4 linked regions of the Arabidopsis thaliana genome follow. The protein of the gene in region 4 interacts with the protein of the main gene of each other region in a pairwise test. Each region holds a gene or a part of one and is shown on either strand. Other genes may lie near its edges. The genes, in order: CYP94B3, AT5G48240, AT1G66760 and AT1G73920.

The links.
Region 1: the proteins of AT1G73920 (region 4) and CYP94B3 interact in a two-hybrid assay, tested with the Arabidopsis thaliana proteins (one large-scale study listed by BioGRID).
Region 2: the proteins of AT1G73920 (region 4) and AT5G48240 interact in a two-hybrid assay, tested with the Arabidopsis thaliana proteins (one large-scale study listed by BioGRID).
Region 3: the proteins of AT1G73920 (region 4) and AT1G66760 interact in a two-hybrid assay, tested with the Arabidopsis thaliana proteins (one large-scale study listed by BioGRID).

Annotation. Positions count from the first base shown.
Region 1 is NC_003074.8:17,974,036-17,979,170, forward strand, and holds CYP94B3 (cytochrome P450, family 94, subfamily B, polypeptide 3), read right to left. Parts: upstream 2,740-5,135; 5' UTR 2,590-2,739; coding exon 1,069-2,589; 3' UTR 818-1,068; downstream 1-817. UniProt on the Arabidopsis thaliana protein: Hydroxylase involved in the oxidation of the plant hormone jasmonoyl-L-isoleucine (JA-Ile), a bioactive phytohormone of the jasmonate-mediated signaling pathway. Converts JA-Ile to 12-hydroxy-JA-Ile.
Region 2 is NC_003076.8:19,556,790-19,562,041, reverse strand, and holds AT5G48240 (Rrp15p protein), read right to left. Parts: upstream 2,800-5,252; 5' UTR 2,742-2,799; coding exon 2,298-2,741; intron 2,217-2,297; coding exon 2,115-2,216; intron 2,031-2,114; coding exon 1,949-2,030; intron 1,842-1,948; coding exon 1,822-1,841; intron 1,738-1,821; coding exon 1,677-1,737; intron 1,587-1,676; coding exon 1,522-1,586; coding exon of another isoform or gene 1,451-1,521; coding exon 1,365-1,450; exon of another isoform or gene 1,270-1,364; coding exon 1,215-1,269; exon of another isoform or gene 1,140-1,214; coding exon 1,044-1,139; intron 949-1,043; coding exon 889-948; 3' UTR 767-888; downstream 1-766. Other genes in the region: BBX8 (B-box type zinc finger protein with CCT domain-containing protein), read left to right, coding at 1-109, 194-323.
Region 3 is NC_003070.9:24,899,240-24,905,227, reverse strand, and holds AT1G66760 (MATE efflux family protein), read right to left. Parts: upstream 3,347-5,988; 5' UTR 3,119-3,346; coding exon 2,870-3,118; exon of another isoform or gene 2,792-2,869; coding exon 2,247-2,791; intron 2,051-2,246; coding exon 1,964-2,050; intron 1,878-1,963; coding exon 1,821-1,877; intron 1,728-1,820; coding exon 1,489-1,727; coding exon of another isoform or gene 1,484-1,488; exon of another isoform or gene 1,398-1,483; coding exon 1,192-1,397; coding exon of another isoform or gene 1,174-1,191; exon of another isoform or gene 1,081-1,173; coding exon 1,015-1,080; 3' UTR 785-1,014; downstream 1-784.
Region 4 is NC_003070.9:27,788,535-27,795,981, reverse strand, and holds AT1G73920 (alpha/beta-Hydrolases superfamily protein), read right to left. Parts: upstream 5,246-7,447; 5' UTR 4,789-5,245; coding exon 4,748-4,788; intron 4,387-4,747; exon of another isoform or gene 4,382-4,386; coding exon 4,208-4,381; intron 4,124-4,207; coding exon 3,727-4,123; intron 3,629-3,726; coding exon 3,330-3,628; intron 3,236-3,329; coding exon 3,167-3,235; intron 3,068-3,166; coding exon 3,011-3,067; intron 2,586-3,010; coding exon 2,533-2,585; intron 2,443-2,532; coding exon 2,367-2,442; intron 2,233-2,366; coding exon 1,284-2,232; 3' UTR 1,054-1,283; downstream 1-1,053. Other genes in the region: AT1G73930 (polarity axis stabilization protein), read left to right, coding at 37-229, 474-635; ARP4A (actin-related proteins 4A), read right to left, coding at 5,682-5,859, 6,012-6,085, 6,173-6,319, 6,449-6,540, 6,677-6,689; AT1G73890 (Bifunctional inhibitor/lipid-transfer protein/seed storage 2S albumin superfamily protein), read left to right, coding at 7,324-7,447.

The sequences.
Region 1 (5,135 bases), on a different chromosome or scaffold from region 4:
ATAAAATCTTTGAAATGTTTCTAATTAATTAAAGAAAATATTTTTTCTAATTAATAAAAAATATATATATATATATTTTTTTAAAACCAATGGAGAAATAAAAATTTAGTATTTCCTTAAACAAATGATTTTGATATTAACTATTTTAACTATAAACTAATATATTCTAATTATAATTAAACAATTTTTACCCATAACTAATGACAATTAAAATAAATAAATGACTGATTTTGGACAATGTTCAAATGTTCTTCTCTTTTAAAAATATAAAGATAGATCATTGCTCGCTGAAAATTGTTGACAACTTGACATCTAAGCGATCGGTGTGTGCCTTTGTAAGTTAGGTTGATTCTACAGAGTGAGATTAACTCTGTGAACTAATAAAATTGTGGAGAATGAGAGAGTGATGAGATTTTTGAAGTAAGATGCGTATAATTATTTATACTACCTTGAAGGGTTTATTTGGGTTATAATTAGAATTGTATTGTGGTCTCTGTATAGTCTTGGGCTTTATATGTTGGGCTAAATATTGTTAATCCCACAAAAAACAAAAAATCCGACCTGCCGGAATCGAACCAGCGACCTAAAGATTTGCTGTCACAGACTACAGTCTTCCGCTCTACCAACTGAGCTAAGGTCGGATGCTGCAATACATTCGCTTTGTTTACTTTATTAACAAATGTTTACAACTAAGAATAAGCTACATGTCTACAACAATGCAAAAGAATTGACATTATAGACATTCTCATTGGTTTGGTTCTCACTGTTCACATTTCATTTAGCTTCAACATCTACATGGCCAGTTCCTAACTAGATTATTGATTTTTGGGCTTATTTGGTTATTTTCGGTTTGCTCAATCCAATTTGGTTTCGTTTGGGTCAGCGGCAAGACTACAAGCTCTATTTCTAACTCGATGCAAAAAATTATGTTTCAAGGAATTGAACCAAAACTTACCTGATTATATTCGGTTTTGGTATGTTTTACAAATTTATACAGATTGATTTCGCAGGCAGGAGTATTGCCACACTGATATTCTATATATAAATAACTCGTTTTTACATATTCTATTAAACGTTGTTAAGGATGTGACTTCTTCTCTTGATCTTCACCTTAAGCCCACCAGCCATATGAGCCGTTAAAAGAGGAACAAAAACCGGCCGGTCTTTGTTAACCGGCACAATCTCAAACCGACTCAAAACAGAACCAACGACGTATTTCATCTGCATAAATGCCATCTCTTTCCCTACACAAACCCTCGGCCCGGCTTGAAAAACCGGAAATTTGTAGGGACTAATAGGTTTCAAAACCGGTCGTGTACTCCCCGGTTCAGAATCAAACCACCGGTTCGGGTTAAACTCTTCTGAATCCGTACCCCATAGCGTCTCCATCCTCCCCATACCGTATGGGAAATAGGTCACTTTGTCTCCTCTCTTGACACGTGTCCCATCAGGCAAAACGTCGTCGTTTGCAGCATGTTTAGAGTCCCACGAAACTGGAGGATATAGCCTCATGGCTTCACATAGACAAGCCTTCGTGTAAGCCATCTCTTTCAAATCCTCAAACCCTAACCCTAAACTCACCAACGGGTCCACTTCTTCTAAAATCTTCCGCTCCACGTCATCGTTCTCAGTCAACAACCAAAACAGCCACGTCATCGCTGCTGACGTTGTATCTCTTCCCGCCATGATAAAACTAATAACCATGTCCCTCACTGCTTCGCCGTTGTGGCCGGCGGCTAGAAACCTCGACAAAAGATCTTGCTTTGCTTCTGCTCCGGTTCCGATCTCAAGACTCTTCTTCTTAGCTCTGACAATCTCAGAGACCAACACGTGCACGGTCCTGATCGCTTCCCTAAGCTTCCTCTCGCTTCCCACGTTCAACACACGCTTCGTTTTCCAAACAGCGTAAATAGGCTCCGTGGCACGGCGAGCACTAATCTCAGCAGCGGTGTCAAAAGCCTCCACAAGTGGATTAACGGGTCGGGTTAGATCCAAACAATCCGGATCCCAACCCAACGAGACTTTACAAACAACATCAAAAGCAAAACGTTTCAAAACATCTTGCAAATCCACGGTCGTACCAACATCAGCCGCCGTGGATAAAACCGGGACTAGACGGTTCTCCACTTCGTCTTTAAGAACCTCAAAAGCAAAACTCCTAAGCGAGCGAGTGGAGAACTCGTGGCTAGCGAGTTTGCGCTGCGAGCTCCATGAGTGACCGTCGACATTGAATATGCCTCCACCGAGAAGATCACCAAGAAGATCAGTAAAAGGTTTACCTTTAGGGAAGTTAAAGAAGTTTGTTTTGAGAATGTACTCGACGTTTAATGGGTTTGTTGTGATGATGGTGCGACGGTTGCCGAGGAGAGGAACTAAGATGGTTTGAGACGGAGAGAGACGGAGAAGCTCGGTGTACCATTGAAGAAGACGATGACGGTTTTTGTTGAAAGAGAGTATGGAGCCAATGAGTGGATACGATGGTGGTCCATATGTGGTGTTTTCTTGGACTTTTTTAGTTGAAGATGAAGATAAAAAGAAGATGATGGTTATAAGAAACGCTAGTATCAAAAAACTCAGAAGAAATGCCATATTGTTTAATTGTTTTTTGTTCTTGGTTTTTTTTTTGTGTTGGTGTGTTGGAAAGAGTTTGTGAATGTGCTTTTTATATTGCTAATTAAGTGTTTGTGTGTGTTCTTGGTGGGTATTGCGTGTGTGTATATAGAAAGGGAAAGGTGGCGGGTCCGGACCAATCTGTCCCGAAACATATCGCTTTTAGTATTAATTTGATTTCTTATATCACATTTTGATCGACGTAACACGGTATTATACTATTATGTGTCTACGGAGATATTATTTTATCTCCTTTTTTGTCTTTAGTGTAGCTGTATGTCACTGTTTCATTCCTTTTTTTAGTCTAATATATAGTATCTTTTTTTGAGAATTGTCCTAACGAAAATATAAATGTTTAGTCAGGCTATTTTGTCTCTTTTAGGATGACGATATTGTTTCGAGTTCCTAATACTGTAGTATAGATTTTCTCTTTTAGTGATAAGCTCCATCAGGATATTGAACTGTTAGTGTAACTGTGAGTATGTATCATCAAATGATTAATATTGTAATAAGCACATTGAACAACTTTCCTGAAAAAACCACATTTGTGTATAAGGAATTTATAAAATTAAAAAAAAAACAAAAAAAAAGAATTTATAAAATTAATAGGACATCAAACATTTCTTTTAATTAATTTATTCGTTTATTACATATTGTTTGGCTTACTTGACCCTTTATTTATCGCTCGTTTGCTATCTAAGCCGCTTTTGTGTTTCCTAATTTGACGTGTTGCAAACGCTTTGGCGACGCAGAAGTCCAAAGTTTTAGAACGTGGCATATCTCCGACAAAACCACGATAGAGACTATGACGCAAGGAAAATAGACCTATATTAAAGTAACTAAATTAATTATAGTGTACTTTGAATGGTTAACAAAAAAACTCAAATGATATACGACATCTCCATTAATGGTTACAATATTACGAAACATCCAAACATTATATTAATATTTGTTAGGTCAAAATTTGAATCGAACCGTGGTTTCTAGAATATAATACATGTATTAATGGTATAGTTGAAATTTGAATGGTAGCTTGAAAACATGAATTTCGCTCCGGCTTACAATATGTGTTAATAATCACTATTCTAATGTCTTAAAAATAATTAAGCGATTATACTTTTGATAAAATGGTCGGGTGTCAAATAAATCTGGAGGCGAAATGTAGAAAAGTAAACATTGAAAAGAAGAAAACAAATACTAGCAAGAGCCTGACAAAACTGTTCCCACTCGAACAAGAGCTATTCAATTGTGCACGTGTTTCTTTAGGCTTGAATTTAACCAGTAAAGTCAGTTTTATATGAGACGAAAGAAAGATGAACTTGATTTCAGCCACTCACGTTGTCGATACCGTCTTTTCTTGCTCGCACACAAAATAATTACGGAATTGAACAAAAATAACGGCGCCGTTCTATAAATTATATGAGCCAACATAATTGATTGGTAGCACGCAAAAAAAATGACTTAAGAAAAGGAACAACCGTTTTTTGTCTTCATGACTTCACCGTCCAAAGAACTCGTGGGTTATACAAGAGATATTTTTCCAGATGTATACAACATTTCGTTGTTGATGTTGTAATGTAATAGTTATACCAGATTTCTATGATAATTTTGACAAATAAAGGTTTCTATTTTTTTTTTTGAAAATTTTATTGTAAGTGGATGAGAAATTTCATAACTTATTTGATCAATAGACGCCAAAGCAGTGTAGAAAACAATTTTTGTGATCAATCACAATCTAGAATGCATGAGAAATTTATTAAAGTCTAATAGAGTCGGTGTAATAACTAATTACCTTGTTCTAAAACTAACATGATAAAATAAAATTCGTTTTAGCATATACTTACATCATGTTCAATATCAATTGTAAGCCAAATGAAAAGCAAAGAAAGGCAGAAGCAAAAAAACTTCACATAGCCTTTTAGCCTCAATCCATGACTTGTTTCTTGTTGTTGTTGTTGTTGAGTTATCTTCTTCCTCTCGACATGAACTCTATTAGCTTCTTCTTCTTTCCTTTCTTATGGTAAACGATCTTTTGCTTCACCTCTTCTCACGTCTTCTCACTTTTTCTTTTGCAAGTTTAATGAAATGTTTCAAGTTCAATAACAACTTCTTACGAAATTGAGCTCCGATTAGATTCAATTCAGCGTTAAGAACGATCGAAATGATGTTGCGAATGATCGATCTCAACTTATGCAAGATCAGAGAACAGAAAACGAAGAATAAAGACACACGATTTGTTTACCCGGTTCAGCAAGATCGGTGTGATCAAGCCTACATCCGGAGCCGAATCAATTCGGCAAATCCACTAAGCTTTATGAAGAGTACAACTAAAACCGAGCTTACAACAATGGTGATTCTCTCAAGTTCTCTCTCTCTCGATACAAGAAAACTTCAAAGAAGAAAACAGATGAAGAAGATGATAATCGTAACAGACTCTGTTACTCTTTGTATAATAGTCAAACCCTCCACTGCAGTTAGAGTCTTTGACTTCTCTTCTTTAATTTCCGGTTTAATCAGAAATCCCT
Region 2 (5,252 bases), on a different chromosome or scaffold from region 4:
AGCCACAACCATGGTGCCATCCAACAGCACAGGACATTATTGCTTCCTCACATGCAACAACACGTAATAACGCTGTTATGCGTTACAAGGAAAAGAAGAAGGCTCGCAAGTAAGTATAAACGCACACAGAAAGGAATTTAATTCATCATTGAAAGTTGTTATAGCTAATATTTAACATATTTTGTATAAATAGGTTTGACAAGCGAGTAAGGTATGTCTCTAGGAAAGAAAGGGCTGATGTGAGACGGCGTGTGAAAGGACGGTTTGTCAAGTCCGGTGAAGCTTATGATTACGACCCGATGAGCCCAACAAGAAGCTACTGAGGATAAAACCTCAAAACAATGAAAGATCACAAAGTGGAGATATAAGACAGAGATGCAACTAATTGGCAGCGATGGATCTGGAAGCCATTATTGGTTGAAAAGGAACACGAGTTCTCCGCCTCAAAAGCGTCATACTTGCTTAGAAAGGCGCATGCTTCTGCAGTTCTGCCTCATTTTTTGCATAAAGTTTGTTATCTTCTTCTGTCATTTGGCATCATGACTTGACTGTGAAACTAGAAACTCTTCTACAGATTCAGGTTCATGATCCTTAAATTTTGTCCTATTATAATTTGTGTAGCCAAGGCAAAACAACGAATGTATATTTTTTTTACGTCATATAAATAATAACCATGTAGAAGTTTGGAGTATCATCACTTCTATATTTACGGTATTGGTTAATGATACTAACAAGTGTATTTTCTAAAAGCGTAACCACAAGAATCACAACCTTTCAGGATCCTTTTGCACTATCAAAAAACTGAATTCATTCATATTGATCAGACAAAATTTGCATGATACAAAGGCAAAATTAAAGTTTGCTCGTTTAACTACTAGTTTAAACTCTTCAGTCTTCATAACTTTCATCTCCTGACAAACCGGCAAAATCATCTCCCTCGCTTGTTTCCTGCGGACAATTCAATTTTAAGTTTCAGATCAAAGAGTATAAATCAGTATGCAAGCTATGTGATTCCAGATTTGTGGATAAGAATGAAGAGATACCTGTTTCTTGTCCCAGTCCTTCAGTTTTGGGTTTGCTAACATGTAATTATCTCGTAGAGGAGCCCAAACAGGAGCTTCGTCTTCAGATTTGTGAGCCTGCACCATCCAACAGAATATCACTAGTTAACTAACCAACAATACTTTAGACTTATAACTAACGGCTCTCGCTACTGAAGGTGATCCTTTCTCTATAGAAGCCAGCTCAAGACAGAATACTAACTTGCTTCTATGTTCATCCAAAGTTGAAGGCTTTAAGAACATTCAAAATTGTTACTAGTAATTTACTAAGAATACTTCTGATTTATAACTAACATCTATCACTCACTCATGAGGTGATTCTTTTCGTGACTCTCTATAGGAGCTAGATCAAGACAGAATACTAACTTGTTTCTACGTGCATCAAACGGCTAAGGAATAAACTCTCAAGATAAATCATAATGAAAGAGAGAGAGTAAGAGATATGGAGACTATGCCAAACCTTGGTGTCTGTTTTTGTTTTCCCTAACTCAGACAAGAATGCTTCTTTTCTTCGCTTCTTCAGCACTGATGGATGTTCCAATAGGATAAAAAACGAGAATTAGAAGATAAGAACAAGACAGTGGATTCATGCCAACGATCAATTTCTAAGCCTACCTTTAGCGTCTTTAGACCTTGAAGGATTCAAACCCTTCTGAGCATGTTGAGCCTTGTTGACCTATTTGAAAAACATAAACTAAGAATCATACGAATCACTACCGGAGAATAAAAACCTCAAAAATAGACATAGAAACAAACTTACAGCATTGAAAAGCTTGACCACTGTGATACCACAAGTTCATGGAGAGGAAAAAAAGAGTCAATACTAAAACAAAAAAAAAAAACCAAACAATCTCAAGAAACAGAGAGTTTAACCAAAGCAACAATACCTCCTTTAGTAGCAACACCAATAAGAATCTTTTCATGAGAATCCAAATAACTTCCAGGTTTAACATGTCCCTTCTCAGCAATCTTAAAAAAGCAATTGTTAAGATAAATCATCATCTAAAACACAAGAACACAAACGAATAGTGAACACAACAACCAAACTCATACCAAATGTTTAGCCTTTCTAGCTTGACCTTTAGCTTTCTTTTCAGCTTCATCTTCAGCTAGCTTCTCTCCAATAAGATGCTTATGTGCTGATAAAACTGGGCCCTATTACACACAACACCAACACAGTTCAACACTATATTCCCAAATCAAAACTCAAAACTAGAATCTGCTATAAAATCTCACCAATGTATCATCTCCTTTAGTCTTCTTCATAATAGCTTTAAAAGCGATTTTGAAAGCATTACATCCATCAGTAGCAAACTTAGTGATTCCAGATTCAATCTCTCCATGATCTTCACCATCTGAATTCTCATCATTATCTTCTTCTCCAATCTCTTCGTAATTTGGTCCCATGTTAGCATCAGAGAAGATCTTCTCACGAATTGTTACTTCTGGTTGTTTCTTCGATTCATCATCTTCTTCTTCATCGTCATCGGAATTGTAATCTCGTGCTCTCTTCTGAAATAGCTTTTGATTCTTCATTGTAACCTTAAACCTATCGGAAGTAGAAGGTTTTGATTTTTGCTTTTTGTTCCTCGCCGCTTTAGTACCTTTCTTAACGCCGACTCTTCTCTTTCTAGAGCCTCTATCTGCCATCGCCATGTGACCTTCTTCTCCGGTAGACATGGCTTCGTCGAGAACTTTGGGTTATCACGGCGGCGAGAGTTTGGGGGAGAAGAGACGAGAGATAGGGTTTTGTTATTGCTTTCTTTAAACCTTGCTATAAGGGAAAATGTTTTCGGATTCTGATTTCCGGTTAAGGTCAGGTTTGTAAGTTGGATTTGGGTTCGAATTTGAGATTTCGGTTTAGGTCGGGTTTTGTCGTTTTGATTTCTATTGATAAATAATGGTTTCCACATGGTTAGCGACTTAGCGTCGGATATAAGATTTGGCCGCGTAATCGGTTCTTGACCAAACTACGAGGCTTGAATGGTTCAAATGCAGACTGCTGAAATTTATGGAAACGGAGAGTTGCGGTTTTAAGAGTTATCATATATTTTAAATGATTGATTTAGCGGTTAAATTTTACGTTTGTTGAAGTTTTATAGTTGGTTAACTAGCATGTGCGATAACGGTAAATACAAAATACCAAAATAATATAATTTATAATTTTAGAAAACTGAAAAACACCAAATTTTTATATTATTATGATTTAATGTTAAAATTTTAAATATAACTAATGATAAAACCATTTTGAGGATCTCAAGCTTGATAAAAAAATTGTCATGAATGAATATGTGTCAATTGATGAAATTTATAATAAAATATTATATTTTTTTACAAAATATAACTAATAAAAAAAAGTATTACATAATTATTCAAAAACAAGTAAATTTCATATTGAAATGTTTATTCATCAATTTGATTCATCACCAAAAAATGTATCATGTAATATGATATACTTCAAACAAATATGTTTGAATAGTAGATATTTCAGATTAACAATATTAGTACAATATTTATATTTGTATCTCGCCTTTTAACAGTTTGATTGACGTCATGATTTTGATGGAAAAATAAGAATTTAGAGTTATGAGAATTAACGTTAACATATAGGGTACAATAAAAAGAATCAGTTTTTACAGTTTTGAGAATTCACGTTACAATTTTTAGAATTTTCAGCGACCTTTAGTTATTAAAAGTATGTTTACTTGCTTTCTTAAATACTTAGGTAAACGTAATGAAAAGAAAAATTATATTTATTCTTTACACAGAATCATATGTAATTTCAGTTCTGTTATGAAGCAAGTTTTTAACCTTTGTGTATGTTCTTCTACGCACATCATACTTGTTCTTGAATTGTTTATCCCATGAATATCTCTTCCCAAATTTTTCTTCAAACTATCTCATGATGGACTCTTTTCCAGTTATATTTAATCTCGTCTTTCTTCTATTCCCTTTTTCCTCAGCAGTACAAAGTTGAAGAAAATATCAACACTCTTCGTCCGACCAATTCTAAATTCAGGAAAAAACATCCAATTCTCAATCATACAATTCTATAACATTAGAAAAAAAAAAGAAACTTACATCATCGTTGTTCATCTTATCAAGTAAGTGACAATCTTAGAGGAAGTAGCAAGTAAGGAACTGTCAATTGCCACTGAAAAAACGAAGAAAGAATGTATGTCAACACAAACTTGTTCCTTTACACTAAGAAACTAACACAAATGTCAACACAAATCTAAATGAAAACAAGAGGATTTGATCTTATTTCTCGTTTGGGTGCAAATTGAAAGTTTAATAAGCGACACAAAAGCAATACAACATGCATCCCTTTGATAAGATTTTAGAAACAACACTTCAGTTCCAGCTCCCAAAATCTGAACAAAATGATTGTGATTTTATACAAAAGTGCTTCAAAGAATTCAAAGTTGTGAAAGGAATAGAACAAAAGAATCCTGATAAAAAGAATAAGTTTTTAATAACTATTTAATCTATTTCGAGATAGAAAATTTGTCTCATCCTGTTCGCTAAGTTTGCGTTTATTTGTTGAACTCAGGTCAAAATTGGGGTTTAAATCAAGTTTGGATAAGGAATTATCGAACAAAAAATAAAAGTGGAATAAAAATCTTTGTCAAACAAACTACAATTAGTAGAGCAACCCAATCATTGTTATAGAAATAGCTCATTAACCCATGTGTTTAGGTTTCCATCAAAACAGATTCATAATTTGTGTGATAAGAAGAAGAGAAGTATTTTTAGGAGTTGCCTCTCGTAGAAGTCTCTTTTTTTTTTTTTTTTGGTGAGATCAATCAAGGAACCACTTTAATCTTGATGACAATCCCAATATTTTATTCTTTTCTATTTCTTGCACAATAAAACTTAACTAACTATCTTATTTTCAATTTTAGATTTTTATGTTAATAAGTTTATATGAGCACAAAAATGGATAAATGTTTGCTACTTATACGAAAGAGATGTCATCATCTAGTCACACATGCATACTTTAAAAATGTCTTGTTAGCTACACTATATATTGTTATAACATACCGACATACACAAATAAATATAAGTTATGTTGCCAATACCATAACCATTCTACTTCGGTTGTCAGAATTATGCGTTGACCGATATTTTATTTTTGATAAACAATTAATAAATAATTATAATTTGCCCTTAAACAGAAAAAAAACTTTG
Region 3 (5,988 bases), 2.9 Mb from region 4:
AATTTGCCGAAAATTAGTTTTCGGAAAAATGTCCAACGTAACATCCCAAAATTTAAGTTTCAATACCAAGTTGGGTTTATTGCTAGTTTTAGAATGAGGTTCAATTGAAATATAATTGAAAACCCCTCCTCTTGAGCAGGCGTATCAGGAATCCAACATTAAAAGTGTGATGTAACCGAGAACGTAATATAAAAATGATATGGGTCAATCTATTTATTGTTAGGAGTTCCATGACAAGACTCTTACGTTCATGAAATCAATATCTTGATGCAAAACTGAACTTGAACATGGACTGAAGCGAGGCTAGATTCATTTAACAAGACTCTCACGTTCGTGAAACCAATTTACTGGTGCAAAACTGGACTTGAACATGGACTGATGCGCGGCTGGATTCATTTGACAAGACTCTTACGTCCATGAAACCAATATACTATATTGGTGCAAAACTGGACTTGAACATGGACTTCTGCGAGGCTGGATTCACCTCATTGTATAACTGATTTTGCAAGTCCATACATTTTTGTTTCTTGGATTGATGTTGATTTAATTTAACTTTTTGTTAATCTTCAATATTATGTATGACGTGTCGTTGCTTCCACGTGTTTTCTGCCATAACAATTACCTACTCACCTTGACTCTTATGAGCATCTCTTGTCGGAGAAAGTATTCAAATTTGCTTTTTGACTTCTTTAATTCTTTGAGTATATCCTTTCAAGATACTCTCTCTTTGGTTCATTATTTGTTTTTTGGCCACGTAAAGTTGTATTATAGACTTTATAGTATAGAAGTTTTAAGCTTGAACCAATCAACTTTGGTCACTCTTTAATTCATCTATTATATACCAGATCATTTTTTAACTGAGATATATTTTCAAACTTTCTTACACTCTAATATCATATGAAAGACTATAATGTACTTTCAATATAAATTACAATCAACTGAAGGTTATTGCACAAACACACACAAAAAAAGAAGCAATCAAAATCCCCCAAAAGTTTGTATTTCTTTTTTTCTTCAATTAAGCAATGAGTCATGTCTCCAAACTTTCTCATCACCAATTCTCTCCCTAGCCTTAATTGCCTGCAAAATTTCATTGAAGAAAAAATGTGTAAACAAATATTAGCTCGATTTCTCGAAAAATCGAATGATGGATTAGAAACAGAAAAAAGCGAGTTACGCGGTTACAATCACCTCTTTGCTCCAATTGGTAAATCCAATAACAAGAAATAGGATTAGAGTTTGTAATGTTGATCCTGTGACTAAACCAGCCCAAAGTCCTTTCCCATTGAAGTGAAGATGAAAACACAATAGAAGTCCAACAGGAATACCAATGACATAATAAGAGGTTATGTTCACATAAGCTCCAATTTTTTGCCACCCTGTTCCTCTCACAATCCCTAAACAAAACAAAACATATATTCGGTTCACGTTCACAAAAAAATAATAACATGGTTGCAAAACCGGAGATGCGTGTTAAGAAAGGCTAACCGGAGAGGACGGTCAAGAAGCTGTCCATGAGGATTGAGATACAAAGAATAGGAGTGATATCAGTCACATAACTAATTACTTCCTCCACATTGCTATATGCATAAGGCCACACACTGCGAGACAAGAACAGACTAGAGCTCACAATAACTGACTCAACAGCTGCAATTATGATTGCAGCCGCAGCAGAATCACGAGCCCCTCGCGGATTCCCAGCTCCTAGCTCATTAGCCACATTGGTGCTAACCAACGAAACAAAAAAAAATGAAACATTAATTCTTCGAAAATAAAATGAAGTGAAAATTCGATGTAAGAGTATTAAAGTAAGAACAAACCTTGCTGCATCACCAATTCCATTTACTAGATTGTAATGCAATGAAGAGGTCGTGAGGCTGCTCAATCCCAAAAATTAAGGCTTAGAAAATGAAAGAAAATATAAGTATCACAGATTATATAGTTTTGCGGTTCGATACATTACCAAATCGAAATAACCGATGTTTCGAGCTTTGAGTTGGGTAGAAGACCAGACAGCAAAGTAATGACCTCGAAAGCTAACCACTCAAGGCTATTGAAGGAAGCAAGAGCAATAAGAAAATAAGTGTCAATAGAATATTAGTGAAGGGAAAAAAAATCCATTACACATTTATTTATGTAACCTAAGATTTTAAATCTTTCACCTATCCACAAAACAATGACCACCACTAGACTACCATCACTTGGTTAATTCTATATGGATTTTTAATAAAGTTGTACATACTTACCAACACATCATTGCAGAAGGAATGGCAAATTGAAAGAAGATATTTGTATGAACAAAAACATCCTTGGACATATAAATCCGCGTTTCGACACAACGACTAGAGCGTTTCATATAAACCCAAAGAAAAACCGCGTTGAGCCAGTAAGAGATACCGATAGACGCAGCCGCTCCTTTGGCTCCAAAATCAAATTTATGAACCATTAGCCAACAGAGAGGAACATGGAAAGACAGAGCAGCTAGAGAGCTCAAGACCATTGGATAAATCAAGCTTTGTGACTGAAAATATCGAACCAACGACTCGAGAACAGAGTAACCGAATAAAGCTGGTACCAGCCAGAGACAGTACACACCAGCTAACTCTGCTATTTGAGGATCTTGATGAAGCAACAGCAAGATCTGGTTCATGAACATCCAAAGAATCGAAATCGGAACAGAGATAATCAAAAGGAAAACTATTGAAGTGAAAGTGTAAGATCCAAGCTTGTGATATTGTTTTGCTCCATATGCTTGACCACATAGTGTTTCCAATGAACCTGAAAGTCCAAACTATATAGTATACAACAATAATTAGAAACAAATTAATCCAATACATATATATATATAAAGGTTCATATACTTGCTTACAAGAACACCAAAGCCGGTAACATTAGCAAAGGAGCTTCCTAGAGCGATTCCGGCGAGAGCGAGTTCGCTCCGGTGACCGACGATCATTGTAGAAGTTGCTTGAAGAAGGTATTGAGACATGTTCACGGCGACCATTGGAGCAGCCATTGAAGCAACTTTCTTCATCTTCTCCCATCTTATTTTTTCTTTATCTTCGTCTTGTGATTGTTTGGTGTTCAACAATAACGGAGTTTCGATACTCTTCTTCATTTTTTTTTTCTTTCTGGTTAGAGAAAATGTTGGAAGTTGTGTCGTATTTATTTAGCTTTATGATTTTGATATAATAAAATTTGTATTTTGATAAATAATATATGCGACGTCGCGACTCGAAGAAAAGAAAATAAACACGTTTCCGCTTCCGCGTATAAAAGCGAAATCGTTTTCGACTTTTATCATCTCACTCATTTAAGTCAAAAGATAGAATTCAGCACGTGTAAGAAGAAGATGCATCCTAACTAGTAACTAATAATTGGTTCCTATTTGTAGTTTGTACTTAAAAGATTTTAGTTGTGGAGTCTTTTTTTTTTTTTATGCCAGAGAAATTAATTAGACAACATAAAGTTTGTTTTGGTTGTATAGCCTTAAAAAGAAAAGTAAAACATGAATGGTTCAGTTTTAAGGCTTTGTGAGTTGTTGAAACTTTTTAGAACCTTTTACCAATCAAATACATTTGTGGTTAAAACTTAAAAATCATGTCGGTTCTTGAAAAAGGCAAGAGTGGTATTAACAATATTTTTGATTAGCATGAGATAGAACTGGAACACAGAACAATATAATACCTTAAGAGTATCAAACAGATATGAAAACTGAATTAGAATCGGTGTTTCCTCTTCAAGCCTTTACTAGTTGCTTCGCTTTGTGTTTCTTATCGTGTTATCTCTTGTATTCGTAGTTCCTTTAGTCGTAGTCTTTCTCCCTTTTTTTTTTTTTTTTTTTTTTTTTGCTTCTATTGTTTACTCTGTATTCTGTCTCAAACTTGAAAACGGTATAAATACTTAACATCGATACCAAAAAAAAAAAAAAAACTGAATTAGAAGATTTTTAAATGTATAGAACCACATACTGATCATCAGTTATTATTTAATTAGTCATAAAATGAGATATACATTTCTAAAGAATAAGGAATAAAAGTCTCTCTTCGTATTGATTGCATTGGCTCAAATCGATAAACATCGGTCCATGATCAATATTTTTAATATCATATCATTTATTTAAGTATTGAACCTAAGATGGCTTTCAGTGGTTACCATCTTACAATAGATTTTTTTTGTCAGCGTTAAACCACTTATGAGAAAAAAAATGTATAATATATGTAGTAATAGCTAGTTTTCAAAAGAACAACAAGATAAATTGTTATTTTGTCAATAGATGATATATGAAAAAGACTACTCATGACAGCGTGATTTATGTAAATTGTGTAACATAACTATAGATTAATTTAATATTTTATAATTATTTATATTATATGATATTTTTATGAATGGTTGAATTTTTTTAAAAATGGATATTTCTTAATCTGCATATTTAACTAAAACCTCTTATATTTTGAAACATAAAGAATACTCCTAGACTAGACATGCTGAGGCCTGAGAGGACAAATGAAACTAAACACATGTTTCAATACTGACCGACAGAAAGAAAAAAATAAATAAATGAAAAGAATAATAATAAAACACATGTTTCAACTTTAAATACATATCTCGATGAACCTAACCTAATCCACATCTCCATGTTAATTCATTGACAAAAACTCCAATCCATGATAATACTCCAATAACATAAAGTTTTAGTTTTCAAAATCATTGTTAAAAAGTACTATCGACTTTATATACTCCACAACATAAATTTGAAATTAGTCAGACTAAACCGCCAAAGTTAAGATTTTGTTTGTGTTTCTAAACAAACAAATTTTGCTCTACTTGATATCAATAATAAATCCGTCTCTTAATGACATTTTTTTTTACTATTTCGTTAACAAAATAGATGTAACTTAACTACTGATTACTAGTATTATTTTTGATTCAATATATCATACATACTTTTTACGTTTTAGTATAAATGTCATTTACAGGTTCTTCACATATAGTAAAAAAACAATTAGATTTTTTTGTCTATCGCTTATTAATATATTATACAATTTTTTATAATTGGTCAATACATTAAAATTGAATATTTACCAAATATCTACACTAAAAATAATAACAATACTTATTTTGAAATAAAATTTTAACACTAAAACGACACTTATTGTGAAAAGAAAGAAATGTATAACTTATAAAGTTAAAAGTTATAACCGAGAATATATGTATTCACAATGTCATTTACAGGTTCTTCACATATAGTAAAAACATTTTTTTTGTTTATCTCTTATTAATATATTATACAACTTTTTTTTATTGGTCAATACATTAAAATAGTAAGAATAGAATTGCAATTTCACCAAATACTGTAACTACATTCAAAATATAAAACAATACCTATTTTGATACAAACTTGTAAGAATTAAACCACACTTATTGTGAAACTAAATAAAAGTATAACTTATAAAGTTAAAAGTTATAACCGAGAATATGTATTCACAATCCGTGATATCCAATTGAGAGTAGTCCAGTCAAGAACTGCATTATACACACTGAAAAAGAGGAAGCCATTTTCTTACTTATCCTCGTCGAAGTTATCAAAAATAAATAAAGAAACAGAAGTTGTTGAGAAAAGTATTAATAATCGGTTCTGACTTCTGACATCGTGTGTTGGAAGAAATAATTAATACTTACACAGAGCATTTTGATAGTTTCAACTTTCTTTTTTACTTATGTTAAACTAACTCTAATCACATGTATTATGTATACAAATTCATATTTACGTTCACTTGGTTTAAAAAAGCACTCCACATACTTCATGCATCTTGATAATCCAACTATCTCTTTGTTTTTTTCCTTTGACATGGAATAACTTTATCAATCTAATCGATGAAAGAGATCCGATTGGTGAAGTTGAGATCTATCGCAAAAGAGTTGTTTCCGCGAAGAATAGTGAAGTCGATGATGGCATACCTCTCGGCCACACTATAAGCAACCTTT
Region 4 (7,447 bases):
TTTAGTTCCCTTGCTAAACAGTTCATTATATTTCAGGCGGTTTCTACGAGGACCCAACTTTTCGCCTTGGTTCCAAAGACGGCGAGCTGTTGCTGAACAAGAACAGCGTAGATTATGGAGGCTAGCTAGAATGAAGACTGATATGAGGCAGATTACGTCTCAGATGAATGAATTGGAAGCTGTGGATTCCTTCAATGCCATTGAGAAACACATTAGTGAGGAAGTCAAGGTAAGTTTACCTTCCTTTAGACTCTTAATTTCATGTTCATGTTACTTCTGTGCTAGATTCTTTTCTTTGGACACTCCCATGTAAACATTACTTACATGCCTGAGAGATGTAAAGATAGATTTTATTTTGTTAGCGATGTACATATCTGCATAGTTAGGTAGAATACGTAATGATAAACATAAACTAGTTCTCTCTTCAGCAGATTTGGAACCATTATGACATATCGAAAACATATATTTTGCAGTCGCTGGAATCAGGAGGAGGTGCAGATTCAGAAGGAACGTTTCAGAAACTGAAGAAGGATCTACAAGCGGTGTTCAGTGTGCTTCCAAAGGACATGCAGCAACTTCTGCTTTTAAATCCACAAAGAGCATCTCTTCTTCAAGATCCATCAGAGCTCCAATGAATGCTCTTCTTCACTACGGCGTCCATGAGGATTCTGATTTCTTTTCTTCCCTTTTCTGTTTCATTCTTTGAACTGTACCAAAGAAAAAAGAGAAAAATTCTTCATCTTCCCTAATTGTTTACTCGTTTTTTCTTTTGAAACATGAGAATCACACAACACCGAAATCACTGATCACTGCTGTATTTTTAACTCTATAACCAGATAAATTTATCCTTCTTGGATCCATTAAACATGTAACTGTAACTATGATTTATATTATTACGACAAATGAATAAACTGTATGACCTACAGAAGTTCTATGTCAAAGTATGCAAAGATTCGCCAACTATATGATTAATTGGTCTCTTCAGATCTTCCAATGGAAAGGAGGAATTTTCTGGATTCATAGCATCTTTCATGACATCATATCATTTTCATGGAAACCAAACCACTAGAAACATTATTATATACCATACGGCTGAAAAAAGCATCTCTCACAACAAGATCATTTCATCAAGGGATCAATCTTTACGGTATATGTACACTATTATAGCCAAGCCATAGGATACTGGCATAGAACACACACATGAAGCTTACACACAACATCACAATACAAAGACACCAAACTCTACGAGGCATTGAACATTGGCCATAGATCGGTTTCAGCTACTACACTACTGTACCCTCCTTTTTCTTCTTCTTCAACTTCATACCTTTCTGACTGGTCTGCCTCTGTTGAACTGGTGTCTGTTTCACAAGCAGAAGCCGCGACATCACATATCTCAAAAGCTCTTCACGGTGAGAGAATGTGAAATCAAGGTGAGCATACTCAAACTCATTAAACGATACATCGACCTCGGCATCTCTCATCACATTGTAGTGTTTCTTCACCATAGAGGAACGGATCACCTTGTCGTTCCTTCCCGCTACTAAATCCACAGGCACATCGATGAACTTGTAAGACTCCCCTAGATCAAGCGGTTCAGGAGAGCCATAAACCTCCATGTTAGCTGATCTGCTTCCATAATCATACATCCTGAATTTACCGGTGTGTTTGATCTGAGCAAGATGTTGCGCCACACGGAAGGAGACAGCTGGCATGTCGTTCATGTTGTAGTGAGGCAATCCTAAGACTCCGACCCAATTCGAGCTGTCTCCACCAACTACATAACTCATTAGAGTTTGGACCAATCCACCAAGAGCAGGATAGTTGTGAAAGTCACGGGCTAACTTGTTCAGAAGCATTCTGAAGAATCTTGTCGGTATGTAGAAGGCAGGCACGATGCGAGCCAAAACTGGACTAATGAAAAGGAATATGTACTCAACTATTGTGAAACCTAAGTTCGAGTCCTCATGAAACCCAGCAGGTGAAAGTAGGATTAGTCGTGAGAGTCTGTGTGGCTTCTCCTTGATTTTTCGAGTAATAACATACATCAGAATTGCAGCACCGCCTAGACTGTGACAGATGGCACAGAGCTTATAAGGCTCCTCCTGGTTGATTTCTTCATCGATATTGGGCTGGCAGAGCTTGAGTTCTGTAGTTTTTATTTCATGAATTTTTTCTATCATCGCTGGGATATCTTCAGTACCGTGCTCGTTAATGGAGTATCGCCAGAACCTGCATTTTGGTCAATAACAATGAACATTTGTACAACTTGCAAATATATACATATGATGAAACTCCACTATCATAAAGAAACCAGACAGTGCATGTAGATTAAGTAAGAAGTGAACTTTAAAGCAATAACTCACTCTTTTGAGGATATGTTCTTGTTCACATGATCTCTTGAAACTAAACCCCGAAAGTTACCCAGAAAAACATCATAGCCTGTAAAGGAAAAGAGTGTAAGAAGCTGATAAATCGTTGCCGTATGTGAATTAATAAAAGATTGGAAAATGAAAAACTTGAGGCTTGAACCTTGGTCATACGCAGCAAAAGCCGGAGATCCAACAACCCCATTAGATACCCATCTGAAGAAAAACACGCAGTAGAGAAAAAGAGTAATCAATAATGTTTCATAGGACATATATTAGATCAAAACATCAGAGGATTATAGGATGTTCCAAGTCAAAACTAAATCTTTAAGAAGGATCGGAGAGAAGGAAAGGGAAAAAAGAAGATGAGATAACTAAAGTAACTGAAAGCAGTATCCCTCCTAATCGCACCAAAAGATTTTCCCAAATCCATTTTTGTGTCTTGAGCAAATCAAACACACACGCAAAGTTGAAGGGAACAAATTATGAAAATAATTTTTTTTTGGGTAAAGAGTCAGGAACATTGAAACGCCTAGGAATGTTATGCTACATGGATATAGAAAATAATACTTCCTCAACTTTTCAGCTTACTAAGTTTCCAAAGTTTACGAGTCATCTAAGAACTAGACCATGAAACTTACCCCATTGAAGAATCCAAAACCCCATGCTGCAAAAAAACAGCTTTCCTTGCATCACGTCTGCAAAGACAAGAGTAGTCAACGATCACATTAAGAGACAATGTAACAGGAATGGAAAGCATGCACAAGCGAGCTTAATATCTAACAAGAAAGTTATACCTTGGTATCCTTTCCAAGACAAGAACATATCCGTCAGATGTAATAACACGAATAGCTTCGTAAGGATACCTACCAAGAGTAGGAGAGAAATCAAGTAAATATCAACTACTTGAGAAAGAGAAAAAAAAAATGGAAGCATGAGACATCGAATCTGCCCCTTTACCCCAACTCTGTTATGACATCTTGACACGTTCGAGTATCAGTGTTCATAGAGTTGTATAAACGTGTGGGACTTTCAACGGGCCTTTCCGTGGGGGATGGATCTGTATCTCCTAAAGTAGCAGTCTGCACAGTTTCATCATAAGCAACCTCACCATGGTTTTCTTTAGGGCTGCGACTGGAAGATGAGAACCATGATAACAATATTGCAAAAGCTTCTGATGGAGAAAGAAGAAGATGCGTAGCCTTGTGAAAAAAATCAAATATTGCTTCTATGCCGATCTCGATAGCAAGATGAAGATCCTGAAAAATAAAGCACATTAAGTAGGACGAGTTTGTCAAAAGGTTTAAAATCACAAAAATGATTGTAACATTGAATATTTGTTCGTGCATCCACAAACCTCAATAACCCCACGTCTTCTATCAGTAGTTCGGTTGGGAACATCATGGTCTTTGCTTGAGTTGGTCTTGCTAATACGAGGTCTAGATGAATGTTGGTGCCTTCTCGGGCTCGCAGGAATTCTTGAACTTCGTTTATAGAATAAACTTATAATATATTGTGGTATCCATAGCAAGATCCGTACAGGAAACATTAACCACCAAAGAATGAACGTAATCCACTCTGTCCAGTGGTTTTCAGAACTTGCAGAAGTGCTAGCCCAAGAGAGGCGTGAGCTTTGAGATGATGGTGATGGAGGCAAAGGACCATCACTATCTTCTCCAGAAGAATACTCCAAGCTTGAAGTATCAGAATCAACAGAAAGCTCATGAATGAACTCATTGAAAGAAGAGACCCCACTGCCATCAAAAACAGAGTAAAATTAGCATATTTTGAAGGCTTGCAAATAAACTAACAACAGAAGAATCATGAGAAATTATTACTTATGCATCCACCGTGGTAAACGTGGTCCACGAAACGTAGGCCTGAGTTCCCAGCCATGTAAGCCTTCAAGAATATTAGCCTTCCCTGGGAGAAGGGTCAACAGAAGAGCTGATACTCCATTTATGCACCTCGCAATGTTATTCAAAGACTCATATGTAACAGTTTTTACTGATCTGCACTAAAAGCCAAAACATAATCAAAAAGCTTATTTAGTTTAAGCTTGTTAGACAACATAAGGGAAAAGAAGAACATCTAACAAAAAGACGAACCAAAAAAAAAGAAATAGTCATTTCACCGACTCAAAGTTCATAGCCAACATCAACTCTAAAAGACGAAGCTTTGAATGAAGATACTAGAATAAAATGGTCTAACAAAACTCAAAAACACAATCTACCAATACTAATTAACAAAGAGACTTACTATAATCACCAAACGATCAAAAACTTAAAAATCTCTACTTGTCATTTATGAAACATTAGAACAACTATAGGCGCATACACAGATGAATCCACTGATGATCGATAAGAAAAAAGACTCACTCTTTGGTTACAGCGAGAGCGTTGTCCACGATCCGTTGCATTGCTTTTTTCTCAAAAATCAGATTTTTTTGTTTTTTTGGAAATATCAGAAAATTTGAAACCAAAAAACAATCTGATTCGTCGCCGTAATCCGAAAATTATCGAGGAAAACGACAAAGAGAAAATTTCTTATCCACCTGAGAAAACACAAAATTTAGCCAGAATAGAAATCTCTCGATGCTAGGAGATATTGGACCAAATCGCGATCGAGATTTAATCCGAACTCAAAATAAGGAAAACACAGAGACCCACAGGAGCCGCGATTCGAGAATCAAAAATCTAAAAAGAAAAAACAAAATTGGAGAGAATCTGACGAAAATAAAATAAAAATGGGAGAATCCGATTAAATAGGGGCACGTCGGCGATTCTTGCCGTCCAGAGACCAGAAAATGGTGACACGTGGACATGTGTTATTGGATAATGACGAATGTGACAAAAACTACGACACGTAAATTCGACTTTTGGATAACGGAGAAGGTGGATTTACCAAACAGGCAAACACACAAGTACATTTGTGGTTGTTTTCACTTAGAAAAATAGTACATTTGTTGTATGTTAACGTTGAAACATTATATTATACGAAGCTATTTCTAAAGCTTCATAATAATAATAAAAAAGTGTTTAATATTTGCCTAAATAAATGAAAAGATACTAATTACTTAATCCCTAAACCCTCTGACTGTCTCCAAAGGTTCTCGTTATCTTGATCTCAAGCAGCTTTTAAGGGCATTTCCTCTGGATGTAAGAAGCTCCATGCTCTGCATACCTGTCATGTACACAAAAAGACTCAAACCCTAGCGATGAGAAGACACTGTTTATACGTGAGTCGAGATCTAGAGAGCAATCCAATGTGTTACTTACTCAGACTTGGAGAACCACATTTGCTGGAATGAGCCTAACGATGCCAGTATACTACCTTACTTCTACCAAGTCTTTCTCGAGGCGTTCTTTCAATTACTGCATTGATGATGTTCCACCAGAATAATCTGTTCCTAATCCAAGATGAACTCAGCATCGATAAAAGGTAGAGAAACCAGACTTTTCTCTCTGCTGCTGTGAGTTCAGAGGAGGCTCTGCAAGTAGCATTGGGTGCTCCGTGGGATCAATCATTAGACAATTCCTTGAATAATAAACATTTACACAGATGAAATCATCAATCAACTATAAATGGAAAAGATAAAGATTAAACAGTTAAAGACAAAAACTAACAGATTCTGCAAATTACCTAAAAGCATGATCCCATACATTGTCCACCATATCCCAATCAGTTACAATGCCATCCTTTGTAGGTGACAATATCTGGAACAGACAAATGTCAACTAATAGAGAGACCTGAAAATTTATCTTCATCCCTAACCATTTTGAAGTTTAATAAAGAAAACTGACCTCCATTTGATCGCGGCGAAAGTTCAAAGCTTGAGATCCTGTGTAAAGCTTCCTTTTGCCTTTTTCTTTATCAGACTCCTTTGCATCCTCCGTGGTGTTTGCAGCATCATCAATATCCATTCCATTTCCATCTATCGCTCCAACAACCTTATAAGTTATATAACACATCAACAACAGCAACAACAAAAAACCTAAATTTCTCGAATTGCTTGCTCTACACTAAAAGGACCTAACTTTAACCAATTGAAAAGAGAGGAAGTAAAGAATGAGACTTACGGAAGGGAAAACAGCTTTAGGGGCATCTTCTCCGGCGTAACCAGCTTTGCAAGTGTGAGAACCTAAGTCTACTACGATAGCTGACACTTCGTCTGTTCAATATATAAGAAACCCCACCAAGGAAAAGTTTACACCTTTACGAGACGAGCTCAAGCGAAAAGGGAAAGAAGTAATGCTGAATTTGTACAATCAGAGAGAGATTTTAGAGAGGACGAAAATAAAACCTACCTCCACCGTACATGGCTGCCGAGAATGGGAGAGGTGAAGAGAGGTTTTCTCTACCGGAGCTTCGTCGGAAGGTTTAAGAACGGAACCGGAAAGTAAACTATTTAAGTGATTTCACTTTGTCTCGGATTGGGAAGTTGAATATAAAGAAGAGAAGGACTAAAACAAACAAACCTGAAATATGAGGGACTAAAACTAAAGAAACTGAAAACAAAGGGACTAAAATAAAAACAAATATGAAAAAATTAAAAATACGCCGTTGCCGGGGATCGAACCCGGGTCACCCGCGTGACAGGCGGGAATACTTACCACTATACTACAACGACTTTGTTGCTCAAGTTTTCTAAATTTGGTATTTCAATTGGTTAACTATTTCAAATTCTAAAAATTTGTTAACGAGATTCCGGTAACATTCTTGTTTTCTTGTGGTCAACAAGAAGCACAATTTACGAATGAACTCAAAAACACCAAATAAGAAACGAGCATGAAGAACTCAAGTGTTGCAACAAATAAACACACATCATGTGTGCAATAACAATTCATGTCCATAGTCACACACACCAAACCAATTGATTCCAACCTTAAATACTCAGAATCCCCTTACTCTCCCACAAACAAAGAAGAAAGAAACTTAGTCTCCTAGGAAAAAAATGGCTTCTTCTACTCTTCTCATCACTCTTTTAATCTCCTTATCAGCATTCTTTCTCCGAATGGTTCTCGCTCAAGTACCAGCTACATGTGCCTCCAGACTGCTTTCCTTAGCTCCATGTGGTC